Linked DNA regions of Saccharomyces cerevisiae S288C. The main gene of each other region encodes a partner of the protein of the gene in region 2 in a complex. Each region holds a gene or a part of one and is shown on either strand. Other genes may lie near its edges.

Region 1 (4,119 bases), on a different chromosome or scaffold from region 2:
CATACTAATATTACGATTATTCCTCATTCCGTTTTATATGTTTCATTATCCTATTACATTATCAATCCTTGCACTTCAGCTTCCTCTAACCTCGATGACAGCTTCTCATAACTTATGTCATCATCTTAACACCGTATATGATAATATATTGATAATATAACTATTAGTTGATAGACGATAGTGGATTTTTATTCCAACAGTGTTAAAGATCTATTAGTTGATCATGTTGGAATAAAAATCCACTATCGTCTATCCAAACAATTCTCTCAAAATTCGCCCAATTCTCAAAATTCACCCATTTCCCACACATATGTGTTTTAGGAACGTTTAGGATAAGGAATCGTCATACTGACGTACCTCATTTTGAGATACAACAAATCATATATTATAAGACTCCATGGCCAAGTTGGTTAAGGCGTGCGACTGTTAATCGCAAGATCGTGAGTTCAACCCTCACTGGGGTCGTTTATTTTTTTTGTATTTGTGCTTATTTACTAAATAACCATTTCACCCTGTTATAATAATGCTTAAAAGAAGAATGTAGTTTTTCTCTTTTCCTTTAACTGCTTTACTTCTCCCGAAAAAGCAAGATGCAATCTTTTAATATGTTTGAGTTTGCTTAAAGTATATTCACAAAAAAGAAAATAAAAGTTAAAAATTTCTGAAAATCAGGACCTTATTCGATAGTTGGTCATAAATTGACTGAAAAATAGAATAATTTCGGACACCAAATGAATCATTAACAAGACAATATCTTAAGGTATGTACAAGTGAGAATATTACTTATATATAAAACGGTTAACAATTTTTTAGTGGTCCAAAGCCTTGATGTTCATGACTTTAGAATTAGACACAACTGGCACCCAATCCTTCTCTGGAGACAGTTCTTCTAGCTCTATTTCTAATGAGCTCTTTTTTACATTCTGTTTTAAAAAGTGTCTAGAACCCTTATTTTGAGCTTCTTTGATATCTTGTAAGAGTTTATCTTTTTCCATTACTAGGTAACCTCTTTTCTCTTCTTTACTATAGAAATCAATATCCCTTCTTTTCGTGGGTCTAGCCTGTAGTGGTACTCTTCCCCTCTTCTCAAGAAACCACTGGGGGTTGAGATGTGCCCTTAGACCCAACGGTGTGTAGTAACGAGCTGTAAACTTACCTCCTGCTTTTTCAATAGCCGCAATAGCCTTAGCGGATGCTCTAGAAGCCTCCAAAGCAATCGGTAGATTGTAGTGGAACTTTCCGCTGGCTAGAATTTTAACTCCGTACTTTATGGGACCAGTTACCAGACCAAGCTTTCTCATCTTATTCATGTCTAAAACCTCGCCTGGTTGCAAATGAAGCCTATTTTTATCATGAAACCATTGAATGCGTTTCAAGTTTAATTCCTTTAATGGTTTGGCGCCAACGTTGGTAAATCCAATTTTAGGAAATAGCTTGTAAATTGGAGTTTGACCACCTTCAAACCACGATTTTACTTTACCACGCGCCTTTTGACCCTTTTGACCACGCCCTGATGTCTTACCTAAACCGCTGGAAGGACCACGCCCAAGTCTTTTGAAAGACTTTGTAGAACCATCTGACGGTTTCAATTGTCCCAAAATCGAAACATAACGATAACTTTGAAATGCTAATACCGGCGATTTGAATAAACCTCGGAAAAAAATATCGTTACCAGCTACGCTAGTTAACATCATGGACGGAACAAAAGTGTTTATTAGTTTGCGACCGATTACGGTTGTAAAACTATTTCTTAATCCTGTTTGCCTTTCCGCTTTCATCAACTTCTAAAGGTCATGAGCTTTAATTTTACGCACTGCGTTTAGTGCAGTTACCTGGAGTTTCAGCCGGGTAAGAAAACTATACGATTGCCAAATAGAAAAACGGATATAAAGATAGTAGCTGTGAATAGTAGCTTTGTATAGTACATAAAGGTACCTTATCTAACATTGCTTGCGACGCAGAATACGCAAAATATACTGTTTAATTGCAATCAGGAGTTTGCTACGGTATTTGGTATAATCGGAACTCATATTGTCCTACGTTCACCGAGACCAATGAACGCACAATAAAATGGATACTTGGAATGCCCTACCCAAAATATGAGCTGCGTTTGTTTTGTGAAAAACGAAAAGTAATTAAGTTGTTTTGCAGAAGTGTGAATAATTGGGGGACGCCATTTGGTTTCTCTCTTCTGATTGATTAAAGTTAATTTCGGCACAATAACCCAATGACTGGCTAGGAAACTTCTCGATGCATCCGTGATCTCCCAAGGACGAAATGGTTTTTATCACGTCCTAACGACATCATATGTCCTCGAGGAGAACTTCTAGTATAGTATTTATTAACAATGGAATCCCAACAATCATCAAATTATTCACCAAATATACACAGATTCTTATACTAACTAAAGTAAGAAGATTAGGATTTCCATACTCATTTTGTTAAGTAGCACTTGTATATCCGGTTTTCTCAAGTTCTGAGCTTCTATGGCCAAGTTGGTAAGGCGCCACACTAGTAATGTGGAGATCATCGGTTCAAATCCGATTGGAAGCATATTATTTTTATTCTACGGTAAACATGCCTGATGGTGATTTGAGACAGACCCCATTGCCTCAGATTTGTGAAGAATAGAAAATGTGTACATTCATTTTGATAAACTATACATATACTTAACTTTTTAACATGATAAATCAATATTGATATGGTCGGTACTGTTCACTTTATCTATATTTTTTTTCTTTCGTGCAATAATCGTCGGCTTTAATAATATTATACATACAAAGGGAAAATGAAGGAAAGAAATATGAAAGGATGAATAAGTCTTTGATATGAATATGTAGTGTTGGTATCTAAACCTAGTCAGCGCAAAGAACTATTATTGGAATCCTTTGCATCATCGTAATCATCATCACCATCTGAGACATTACTCCCAATATTTGAACTCACATTATCGGGGTTGACAATGTGTAGTTGTCTTTCTTCCATCATATCGGGCAGCGAAGTAGCACTGAACCTTTGGTTCCCGTTATAGATCGAAGGAGGCTCCTCGTACACTACCGAGGGAAAGTGACTTCTTTTGCTGATATTATGTGCATCACCAGTAATAATAGAATCTCTGCCGCCCGGCGCCCTTGTCGGCAGATCATAAGTGGCAAAAGTAGACGCTGTATTCTTGGACAATGCTGTATTATTCCTAGAGGGTATGTGCCAGTTAGTGCTCGAAGCAGACGGTGGAATAACAGGGTTAGCGTCAGCATCACCCAGTGAGTACGGCTGGTACTGCTTTGTCTCTTCCAAGTCCACATGCTGAGAAGATTGGCGACGTTTTTTCCATACGAAAAAGAATAACGCCAGAGCCAACAAGGCAACTGTACCACAAACCACACCTACTACGACACCTGCGATGGCGCCACCACTCAAGCCTTTGCTCTTGGACGAGCTCGATTTCCCGTTTAAGAGAGAACTAGTAGAGGAGGACGTAGACGATACTGTTGCATAAACAGAGGTCCTGGTGGTAAAGATCGTGCTTGCTTGTTGGTTAGCTTGAGAAACCACGGACTGCGTCACCACACGGGTAGTGTAATGCGTGGAAGTACCTATTGAAGTCGATGAGGGGGTAGAAGTGACCGTTGCTGTCGAAGTTGAGGATGAGGTCGATGTGGTGGATGAAGAAGTTGCCTGCGTAGAGGACGTTTCTGAACTGGAAGAGGCAGAAGTGCTAGAGGAAGTGGTGGAAGGAGAAGAAGAAGTAGAAGTAGTACTAGAGGTAGTAGAAGTAGTAGAAGTAGTAGACGTAGAAGAGGAAGAGGATGAAGAAGAGGAGGAAGTAGTTGTCTCTGAAGAGGAAGTGGTAGTGGAGGTTGTAGACGAGGAAGAGGATGAGTGCGTAGCAGAAGAACTAGTTGAAGTTTTCGTGTCCAATTTCGTGGACGTTTTTGAACTAACACTTGTGCTTGATGAAGATGTTGTCGATGTTGAGGTAGCAGTAGATGAAGTTGAGTCCGCGGTAGAAGCAGCGTTATTGATATAAACGTTCATGGCAGAAGAACCACCACAATTTTGGTAGGGCCAGCCAGCACACGAAACATCACATTTGCTCGAATCTACCTGCGTCAAAGA
Region 2 (3,538 bases):
TGTACAAAGATCACCTCTGAGTTTATTATTGGGCATTCCTTGAGCCACTACCACAAAAATGGTAAAAAACCAGCCCCCAATATTCTAAACGTATTTGATATTCTAGAAGACAGTTCTTCGTTTATTGAAGTAATGGAATTTTGCCCTGCTGGTGACCTTTATGGTATGCTGGTCGGTAAGTCGAAATTAAAGGGCCGATTACATCCGTTAGAAGCCGATTGTTTCATGAAGCAACTGCTTCATGGTGTTAAGTTCATGCATGATCATGGTATCGCTCATTGTGATTTAAAACCTGAAAATATTCTCTTTTATCCGCATGGTCTATTGAAAATATGTGACTTCGGTACAAGTTCTGTATTTCAAACCGCTTGGGAAAGGAGGGTTCATGCTCAAAAGGGTATAATTGGATCAGAGCCTTACGTAGCTCCAGAAGAGTTTGTTGATGGGGAGTATTACGATCCAAGACTGATTGACTGTTGGAGTTGTGGCGTTGTTTATATAACAATGATATTGGGGCATTATCTTTGGAAAGTAGCTTCGAGAGAAAAAGATATGTCTTATGATGAATTTTACAAGGAAATGCAGCGTAAAAACCAGTTTAGGGTATTCGAAGAATTAAAGCACGTAAACTCAGAGTTGGCCACAAATAGAAAAATCGCATTATATCGCATCTTTCAATGGGAACCAAGAAAAAGGATTTCTGTTGGCAAACTTTTAGATATGCAGTGGATGAAAAGTACGAATTGCTGCCTAATATATGATTCCACATAAATATCTTGTATACAATATTCACGGCATGCAATTATAGAATAAGACAAGAAAAAGAATACAACTCCAATGAGTAGAACGTCAGCAGCACGTTCATGCGTTTTCAAAGTTAAAGTCATACATTAAAATTTAAGCAATATATACAGGTGGTTAATTAAATAATGACGACAAAGCTCTTTTGCTGGTTTACAGTCCCTTGATTATAACGTTAATGAATGGAAAATGGGGGTACTTTTATTCTTATATGACCCTACTTGCCAAAGAGCATATCTTATTGTATCCCTTGTCTTTCAGTGTTCTATCTACACAACCATCATTAGCCATAATTCTTGTCCCCAGAGGTTCACCGGTATTTTTATTAATCAAAACGCAAGCAGTATCTCCGAATGCAACGGTGGAGCCATCCTTTCTGCACATGTTACGCTGTTTAGACCTTACGACAATTGCGTGACAAATATCACCTTTTTTGACACGGTTGGTGTTGGCTGTCCCCGTAATGTTTTGAGTCAAGGGCTTTGCTTTCTGTATAACACAGACTATTCTGTCTCCAACCATTGCAGGACTCTTGGGGGACCCTTTCCTTATTACTTTAATACATTCTGCTAATTGTGCACCTGAATTGTCGATTACCTTGATGACAGATTTTAGAAATATCATGTTGTGATGTTAGAAAATATGGCTTATCCAGATCTCAAAGGGTTGACGACACACCGTTCTACAAATCCGCTATGCCAATATCCACGCTTCACAATTTATCCGAACTCTTCTATAGGTCCCTTTTCTTCCATCCGTCATTTAGCAACATGATTTAAGGCTGTTCAAAAAAATATTCTGAGTTTTCGCACGTTGCACGAGTCGCAATGAATAGCGCCAAATAAGTGATAGAGGCATCAAATATGCGATAAAAATACTTATTTACATATTTCGTAATAGTAATTATGAAGTTCGTTATAATTTATAAAATGGGAGAAAAAAAAGTAAGCACAATGTATGTATTTTTTCAATGCAATCAATATCATTAATCATAAGTCATGAGCCATTATTATCGTGAATGGCCTCGCTTAGGTTCATTTCGTTTTGAAGGACTTCTTCAATCCTTTTCAATTTCCACCTCTTATCCAAGTCAATCGTCAAACATCCAATGACTGTGTCATACAAGCCTTGACCAATCGTTCCTTCATTTTTTTTCCTGTCAAATTTACAGACCTGAGCTAAAGAAAATCGGTCAAATTCGCCTACTTTAATCAGAGAGCGTAACCTAGGTTCGAACTCATGATTAAAGGGTAATTTTCCTACTAACATTGTATATAGCATTACTCCCAAGGCCCAAATATCGGATGCTGGTCCTAAAGGAGAAACAATACATGGAAAATCAGTCGATGAACCAGACGGTGAACTTGTAGTTACACCGGAATTCGTGACTGCGGACGCCTTTGTAGAGGATGATAGAGAAGATAAATTAGAGGAAGATGATGATGCTGCGCTAATTTCCGATTGAGAGGAGTCTGGTGAATCATAAATATGCATTTCAACTGATTTTGAACGTCTTGCATCTGAGTATCTTAGAAGTTCTGGCGAAGCGTAAGGCAGAGATCCGATATATTTAGAAGGTTCGGGTTCCAGGTTTGAAAAATCGGTTGTCTTGTGCCTCCCATGAAAGGGACTCCGATGCTGTGGTTGAGGTTGAGAGGCTGGCTTGTGAAATAGATTAGAAGAAGAAGAAGAGGATGGTTGATTGAGATGCTTTAATGAATGTGAACTGGAGCTAACCATTCCTTTTGGTGTAAACGGTTGATGCTTTCGATTTTCAAATTGGTATTTTAAGTTTTCACTAGCGTCAAAATCATTAGTTCGGTCGTCAGGTAAAAAATTGGTTGTGGGATACTTTATCAAATTAGTTTGTTCAATACTTTTTCTCTTTCTATGGCTGTTGCCACTACTCAAGTTTTCATCAAAAGTATCGTTACGATAAACATGCTTCTCATCGAAGTGGCAACTCATTCCAAAATCGCATAGGAAAACCTTCCAATCCGATTTTTTACCTTCTTTTTGTAACAGACAGTTTTCTAATTTGATGTCACCATGAACAATCGTTTTGGAATGCATGTACTTTAATGCAGATAATAGTTGTAAGCTTAAAAAAATGGTCAATCTGCATCTCTCTGCAAATGGTATCTTCGAACGTTTGAATTCGTCCCAAGATATTACCAAGTCGTATAAGGTACCATCGTTAATTCTTTCCGTTAAACAATACATTGCATAGTTGTCATCAAGCTTCCAATCTAAAAGGGGGAGTATTCTGTTATGCTTCAAAGTCCTCCATATGGCTACTTCTCTCAGCACATGTTTCTTGATATTTTGGTGTCCTTTGAACTTCACAATTTTTATCACTCTACCAACACCAGTTTCAATATCAAAGCATTCCCGTATGATCCCCCATGCGCCGAAACCTATGATTTTACCCAACCGATGACCTAGTATTTCCATACCCTTATCGTCTGGTCTCGCACTGCCACCTGCGCTTCCACTCAATGGGTTCGAATTCATTTTAGCTATTGACGTCATCGAAGGTGAAAAAGAACTTAAAAATTGGGATGCAATGGAACCGTGCCTAGATCTTTGAAGTGGACGCGTATTTACGTAGGTGTCATTGCTATTATTGGGCGTGTTCCTACTATTGATGTTATCATCATTAGCCGTGGCCTGCGAAACTGAAGCATTATTGGCAAACCCAGCGAGAGAAAAGTTACTTCTAGAAGATGTTAACATA
Region 3 (4,033 bases), 320 kb from region 2:
TGGAGACAGAGTTTTACCACTTATCGTTCTTTCGCGCAAATATTGAACTTCATTATTAGCGTCAACCACTTCGAACATGTCAACTGATGATATAGTCTTTTGATTATTGGTTAAAGAGGTTAATAGTGCAGAAATTAATTGGTTTTTTTCGAACTGCAAAGGGTTCCTAAAAAGAGTATTGTTTTGACCAACGAAATAAGACAATTTTCTACTAGAAAATTTGTTGCCTCTAGGTTTCAAAATCTCTCCGTCATCTAAAACTCCATTTGTCAATTGAAATTGTTCAACAACGATCTGCAACTTGTCATACTCATCTTTGGAGGTACAGTAATCGTGAAAGCAGCTATTATTAAGGGAACTCAAGGCACACTGTAAACATTTGCAGTTATCCAAGTCCTCCATTGTTTCATTATTCACAGTAACGCATGACCGACAAAATGCATATTGTTCATCAAAATAACGGGACACGCATTCACTTAAATTTCGTTTCTTCACATGGATCTTGTCAGTAATAAAATCTAGAGAATATTAGTACCTCGGTAAATTTGTTGTACATACGCAACTGGAGAGGAAGGGGGAAATCAGTTGTGAATTGTAACCTGGACATAAGTTAGGATCTGCCACAGTTTTGCTTTGAACCGCTGCGAGAACGCTCCCACCACCACCGGCAAAGAGAACCAGCAGAGCGCTTAGACATTCCAACATTATCAGTATATCTCGTGTGTTCCTGCCTCTTGATGATTTTAGCTAGCTGTAATGTGTAACGAATTATTCCCTTACTGCTTCTTGAGTTAGCCGCCAAAGAGGAAATATAGCCACAAAAAGAACTTACAGAAAAGATAAGGTAAAAAAAAAAAGTGATCTATAATGGGAAAGAAAAATCCAAACTTCTTCAAAGAGTATATATATGTACAGGATATTAAAATGTAATGATAGTAGTAATAATAGTATTAACATAAGCTAAGCGGATCTTGCTGTTTCCAAAGCTTTTCTTGTTGCATCATCCTCTAACTTTTGAATTTCTTTCATAATAGTATCATATTTACTTTTTTGCTCTTTAGAAGTAACATCGTTAACAACATATATGTTTGGTGACGCGTAATTATCAGAAAATGGGTGGATAGCATTTGGCTCAGCTTCTTTATAAGCGAGTTTAGGATCGTTGGCAGATGGCAAAATTTTTTCCTTAATATACCTTTTAAACTGCAAGGGTGTGCTTAAAGTGGTCAGTTCATAATCAGGAATTAGATAGCCAGATTTAGATTGCAAAAATTTGGTGAACTGAAATTTAGCTACCAAATCAGAGAATTGGACGTCCTGGTCTACTTTGCCCAATGTTTTTTCCGTTGCCTGCAATATCATATCATCTAACTGATTATCAGACGTAATCTTATCCCTGGATAACCACTGATTGAATGGCGCAGAGGAGACCGCAAGCTTCAACTCCTTCTGTCTCTTACACCGTCTAGACCCTTCGCCAATAAAATTTTCTGGTATTAGCTCCAATCTGTTTTTGTTATTGGAAGAGGATTGAGAGGAAGCCTCGTTAGTGCCTTCTTCAATATCCTTTATCAACTGTTTGGTGTCCTTGACAGGCTCTTGGTGCTCTTCTTGCTTCTTCCTCTTGAACCATGACATAAAGTCCCCGTTTGCAGCGGAACTGTGAATACATCTGGCTTTCTGCTTGTAGCCAGAGAGCCAGACCGACCTTTGCGGCAATGGTCTAATACAATGTAATTTAAGCAGTGACGACATCCTCATACTATGTCCGCCTTTCCGTCTACCCATTATTCACTTCAGGACTGATGATCAGGCATGCAGTTAATTTGACAGAAGTCGTTGTTTCACTATAAATTTGTCAGCTACCCGCCTCACCAGCAGCGATAAAGAACGAAGAATAAAAGAGAGCATTCACAGAGTACGAATCCAGTATAGCGGTAGTGGATACAACGACAGATTTAAGTCGTAAAAATGGGAGCCGTACTCAGCTGTTGTAGAAACCATTCCGGCGAAGAGAATGAAGCTTTGCTGAGGGAACAGCAGGCAGGCTATGGAAGTCAAGGAAACGCAAATGACGAATACGATGCCGAACAAATGCGGTTGAAGGAACACGAACACGAACAGAAACTGCTGGCCAGGGAACAAGAGTTAAGAGACATTGTTGCAAACACCAACGATAAACTAATAGACATATCGATGATAAACAATAGTGGCATTGTAATTCAAGGGACAGACCTGCAAGAAGCTCTTGATAAAAGACAACAGGAAGAAGGTGGAGATTCCCGGGAAGACGAAAGGAGTGCAGGTGATGACAACCTCAGTGGGCACTCAGTGCCTTCAAGCGGATCCGCACAGGCAACTACTCACCAAACTGCACCAAGGACTAATACGTTTACTCTGCTTACATCACCGGATTCAGCGAAAATATCAAAGGAACAGTTAAAGAAGTTGCACTCTAATATACTAAATGAAATTTTCAGCCAGTCCCAGGTAAACAAACCAGGCCCCTTGACGGTTCCCTTTTAATGAACTTTTTGTATAACATCATTGGTATACAAGCTTTATAAATAAATGTTAAATAGTTAATGAAATAAAAAATCACATTTGACGAATTCGGAAGACAAGTAGCCCAAGAAAAAAAACAACAAAAGCATGCTAGAGGATGATGTTTAAAACGACCCTCAGCCTGTTATTACAATAGAGAGCAAACCAAAGAATAATAGATAAAGTACACAGATATGGTAGTTAAGAAGCGTAAGTTGGCAACTGAGGCCGGTGGCAGTGATGAAAGGCCTAAATACTTGCCGGGAAAACATCCTAAAAACCAAGAGAAAACTCCGCATGTGGATTATAACGCCCCATTAAACCCTAAATCTGAACTTTTTCTAGATGACTGGCATATACCTAAATTTAATCGATTTATTAGTTTCACTTTGGATGTTCTTATCGACAAATACAAAGATATTTTCAAAGATTTCATCAAACTACCAAGTAGGAAGTTTCATCCACAGTATTATTACAAGATCCAGCAGCCAATGTCTATTAATGAAATCAAGTCAAGAGATTATGAATACGAAGATGGTCCAAGTAATTTTCTTTTGGATGTTGAGCTACTGACAAAGAATTGTCAAGCTTACAATGAATATGACAGTTTGATTGTAAAAAACTCCATGCAAGTAGTAATGTTGATTGAATTTGAAGTATTGAAGGCAAAAAATTTGAAAAGAAATTACTTAATTAACAGCGAGGTCAAAGCCAAATTACTGCACTATCTTAATAAGCTAGTTGACGCCACGGAAAAGAAAATCAACCAGGCTCTGCTGGGTGCGTCATCTCCTAAAAACTTAGACGACAAAGTCAAGCTAAGTGAACCGTTTATGGAATTAGTCGATAAAGATGAACTTCCTGAATATTATGAAATAGTGCATAGCCCCATGGCTTTATCGATCGTAAAGCAGAACCTCGAAATTGGTCAGTATTCCAAGATATATGATTTCATCATTGATATGCTTTTAGTTTTTCAGAATGCTCATATATTCAATGATCCAAGCGCTTTGATTTACAAAGACGCAACAACTTTAACAAATTATTTTAACTACTTAATACAAAAGGAATTCTTCCCAGAGTTACAGGATTTAAATGAACGTGGCGAAATTAATTTAGAATTTGACAAATTCGAATTCGAAAACTACTTAGCTATTGGTGGTGGTGGTCCAGCCGCAGCAGGTGCGTTAGCTATATCTGCTCTTGATAATGATATTGAGCCAGAATCTAACCGTGAAGATCTTATTGATCAAGCAGATTATGATTTCAATCATTTCGAAGGTCTCGGCAATGGTTATAATCGTTCTCTCCTAACTGAAGATTATTTACTGAACCCAAACAACTTCAAAAAGTTAATAGCCAAACCGGAAACAGTGCAATCCGAAGTCAAAAATGAAAGATCAACGACATCTGATATTGAGAAGACAAACTCCTTAGAGAGCGAACATTTAAAAATCCCCAAATACAATGTTATAAAATCCATGCAAAA
Region 4 (2,937 bases), on a different chromosome or scaffold from region 2:
ACAGAATGTCGCTAAAGAATTGAACAAAGTCATTCCAATCGCAGCTGTTACGGGTGCATCCGTCTTAAGTTTGATCACCGTTATCGGTGAATCTTTGGGTTTGAAAGGTAAAGCTGCTGGTATAGTTGTTGGCATTGCTGGTGGGTTTTCTTTGCTAGAAGTCATTACCATTGAATACCAACAAAGTGGCGGTCAAAGTGCTTTGAATCAAGTCTTGGGTGTTCCAGGTGCTATGTAAACAAAGAAAAGAAAAAAAAGAAGGAAAACAAAAAAGAAGATCAAATTCTCTCTGCTACGCGCATTTATATACGTACGAACTTTTTGCTCTTCTTTTAGATTTATATGTATCTATATTTAACTCAAAGAAAGATGACATATGGTGCAATGTCTAAGCCATGTTTTATTTGATTTTGTTTTACAATCTTAAGTTTTATTTTTTATCTACCTATAAAGTCGAAAACTAGTATTTACACGCATATTGAAGAAAGATTATAAATAACTTATCCACGCTCCTTATAACATGAAGTGTCGGTGGCCCCTTCGCTTTGTACCCTCCCGTTTACTATGTATTCTTTTATCTTTAATAACTGTAAACGAGGATCTAATGGGCCGCCGCTAAATCCTTTAAATTCGTGTTTTAGAGGTGGTACATTTGCGTTAACGTAGGGCTTTAATTCGAAATTAACCATATCTGGGGTAACATAGGTTCTGACTTTCTTCCAGTTTATCACATAACCACCGAATTTTGTATGTCTACCAATCCCTGAAGCTCTTGTCCCTTTGTACATCGTCTTGTTACCTTGCTTCGTGGTCAACGGCACTCTTTTATTCCCAACTTTTGATAACCCATAAAATAATTCACCATCTCTGTATTTCTTCCAAGGCCTGGTAAGAGCATTAATAGAGGTCTTACTAAATTGAGAAATGGGTGAGCCTTTCATTTTAGTTATTTGCTGTCCTCACTTTCAAGGTAATCTTTGATTCCCGTAGTTTTTTTAAGCAAAAATTGGTGTATACTACTTCAATAGTCCTATCTTTTGTATTAATTCTAGCTTTTCAAAAATAATCCGTGAAACGTGATAATAATAATTATGTATCTCAAGAAAATCATCATCAAATAGCCGCCAACAAGCTGCAGTGAAGCAACATTGAAAGTCCTTCCCGCAAGTATTAGGCTCTGTTTAAAGATTACTAACCTTGTTAATAATTATAATAACACTTCACAGCTATTTTCGTATTCCTTTTCATAGTTAAGGGCATTTCACTTTGATCTAGAATGATCCTCTGATTTCGATGTTTTGTTATATGGTAAGGAAGCTCTTGAGCATTGCTCACAATTACTGCTGCAATTAGAAGTTCAATGAAGATGGTATCTTTTTTTTTTTTTCTCATGAGAGGGAATACCGACTTTACCATAAACTTGAGTGATAATCGCATTGTGCGCCGCGAAAAGCTGTGGCACCAATATCAATAAAATGTGTGTAACTGAATTATTTAAGTGAAAAACTATTTCGAGAAACCGAACAACCCTGTAAGGAAAAGTGAAAAACGAGGGCAGAAGTAATTGTGAAATCATGTACGATAGCAGGGGTGTCGCATTGCACTCTGAACTAATTCATAGGTGGAATCACGCTTTTTCCATCTTATCCATTGTTGCATTTCCAAAAAAAAGATTGTTGTTTGCTGGTAGCCAAGACTCCAAGATATTGGTTTTTGATCTTCCCACATATAATCTAATACATACGATTAGACTAGGCGAATCACAAGAGGAAACGCATACCAGATCTTCGGTTTTGTGCTTGACAGGATCAGAAGATGAAAACTTTTTATTTTCAGGCGGCGCAGATTCTTTGGTGAGAATTTGGTCCATTGGCGAAAAGACCATTAGAGATGACTTTCTACCTGTTACTGAAATAGCCACTGTTTACTCAGTGACCGATATTGGTGATATTTTCTCATTGGCATATTTGGATTCGTTGGAAACTATTGTCTTTGGCTGTCAAAATGCAAGCTTACTATATGTTGAGAACTTGATTCAGAAGATTGAAAAAAAATCCTCTGATGGAGTAGAAAATATCAATAAATTACCGCATAGAAGATATGATAAGTTCTTTGATTCGTTAGGTCCGACTGGATATAGTTCAAATTCATTATCTCAAACTTCATTGACCTCTCTACAAGAAAACTGTGGCGCTGCCATCATAGAGGTTCCCTCCGAAAACATTATTAAATATGCACATTATGGGTTTATTTATTCTATTAATAAATTGTGTCCCAGGTTTAATCAGTTATTGGAAAAAAGCTCACGAACTTCTGGTGCAGAGCACATAATTTCATCCGCTGGTGATGGAATAAGCAAGCTTTGGGAGTTCTCTAAAGATAAAGGGCAAAACACTGTTAAAATCTCCTTGATAAACGATAAAATCGACAATGAAGATAGCGTCATATCCCAAACTATTGAGTTCCCATTTTTATATTGCGGGTTGACTGACGGGATTATAAAAATCTGGGACTTAAATACTCAGCAAATAATCTCAACTCTGAAAACAAAGCATGAATCGGACGTCATTTCAATATCAGTTTATATGGACCATGTATTTGCCATTGATGAATCAGGCATCACGCATTTTTACCAGAACCAAGTTAACCATTGGAACCCTCAACAAGGAAAAATATTAAGCTCAGAGATTTTCAGTAAATCAAATGCTGGATCTGTTAGTTTATTAACGGGTGGTAGCGATGGGTCATTGACTCTCTGGGATATAACCTCATTATTATCTGCGGTGCCTCTGTCAAGCAACTCACCCATCAATGCATCATCTACATTACAAACCACCAATTTATGGGCCGCCTATCAATCTGCCTCTCTAAATAACGAGGAGATGTTAAACACACTGAGAGAACTTATTTCTTTCCAGACAGTGTCTCAAAGCAAAG

The links.
Region 1: MRPL38 (region 2) and MRPL10 share a complex: the UniProt entries of both Saccharomyces cerevisiae proteins name them as parts of the mitochondrial large ribosomal subunit.
Region 3: MRPL38 (region 2) and MRPL13 share a complex: the UniProt entries of both Saccharomyces cerevisiae proteins name them as parts of the mitochondrial large ribosomal subunit.
Region 4: MRPL38 (region 2) and MRPL27 share a complex: the UniProt entries of both Saccharomyces cerevisiae proteins name them as parts of the mitochondrial large ribosomal subunit.

Annotation. Positions count from the first base shown.
Region 1 is NC_001146.8:102,325-106,443, forward strand, and holds MRPL10 (mitochondrial 54S ribosomal protein uL15m MRPL10), read right to left. Parts: upstream 1,779-4,119; coding exon 810-1,778; downstream 1-809. Other genes in the region: WSC2 (Wsc2p), read right to left, coding at 2,860-4,119. UniProt on the Saccharomyces cerevisiae protein: Component of the mitochondrial ribosome (mitoribosome), a dedicated translation machinery responsible for the synthesis of mitochondrial genome-encoded proteins, including at least some of the essential transmembrane subunits of the mitochondrial respiratory chain.
Region 2 is NC_001143.9:128,521-132,058, reverse strand, and holds MRPL38 (mitochondrial 54S ribosomal protein uL14m MRPL38), read right to left. Parts: upstream 1,426-3,538; coding exon 1,009-1,425; downstream 1-1,008. Other genes in the region: putative serine/threonine protein kinase KKQ8, read left to right, coding at 1-771; protein kinase NNK1, read right to left, coding at 1,798-3,538. UniProt on the Saccharomyces cerevisiae protein: Component of the mitochondrial ribosome (mitoribosome), a dedicated translation machinery responsible for the synthesis of mitochondrial genome-encoded proteins, including at least some of the essential transmembrane subunits of the mitochondrial respiratory chain.
Region 3 is NC_001143.9:449,463-453,495, forward strand, and holds MRPL13 (mitochondrial 54S ribosomal protein mL50 MRPL13), read right to left. Parts: upstream 1,756-4,033; coding exon 961-1,755; downstream 1-960. Other genes in the region: YKR005C (uncharacterized protein), read right to left, coding at 1-489, 559-705; MEH1 (Meh1p), read left to right, coding at 1,972-2,526; RSC4 (Rsc4p), read left to right, coding at 2,739-4,033. UniProt on the Saccharomyces cerevisiae protein: Component of the mitochondrial ribosome (mitoribosome), a dedicated translation machinery responsible for the synthesis of mitochondrial genome-encoded proteins, including at least some of the essential transmembrane subunits of the mitochondrial respiratory chain.
Region 4 is NC_001134.8:766,244-769,180, reverse strand, and holds MRPL27 (mitochondrial 54S ribosomal protein mL41 MRPL27), read right to left. Parts: upstream 942-2,937; coding exon 501-941; downstream 1-500. Other genes in the region: SSH1 (Ssh1p), read left to right, coding at 1-238; glutamine amidotransferase subunit DUG2, read left to right, coding at 1,575-2,937. UniProt on the Saccharomyces cerevisiae protein: Component of the mitochondrial ribosome (mitoribosome), a dedicated translation machinery responsible for the synthesis of mitochondrial genome-encoded proteins, including at least some of the essential transmembrane subunits of the mitochondrial respiratory chain.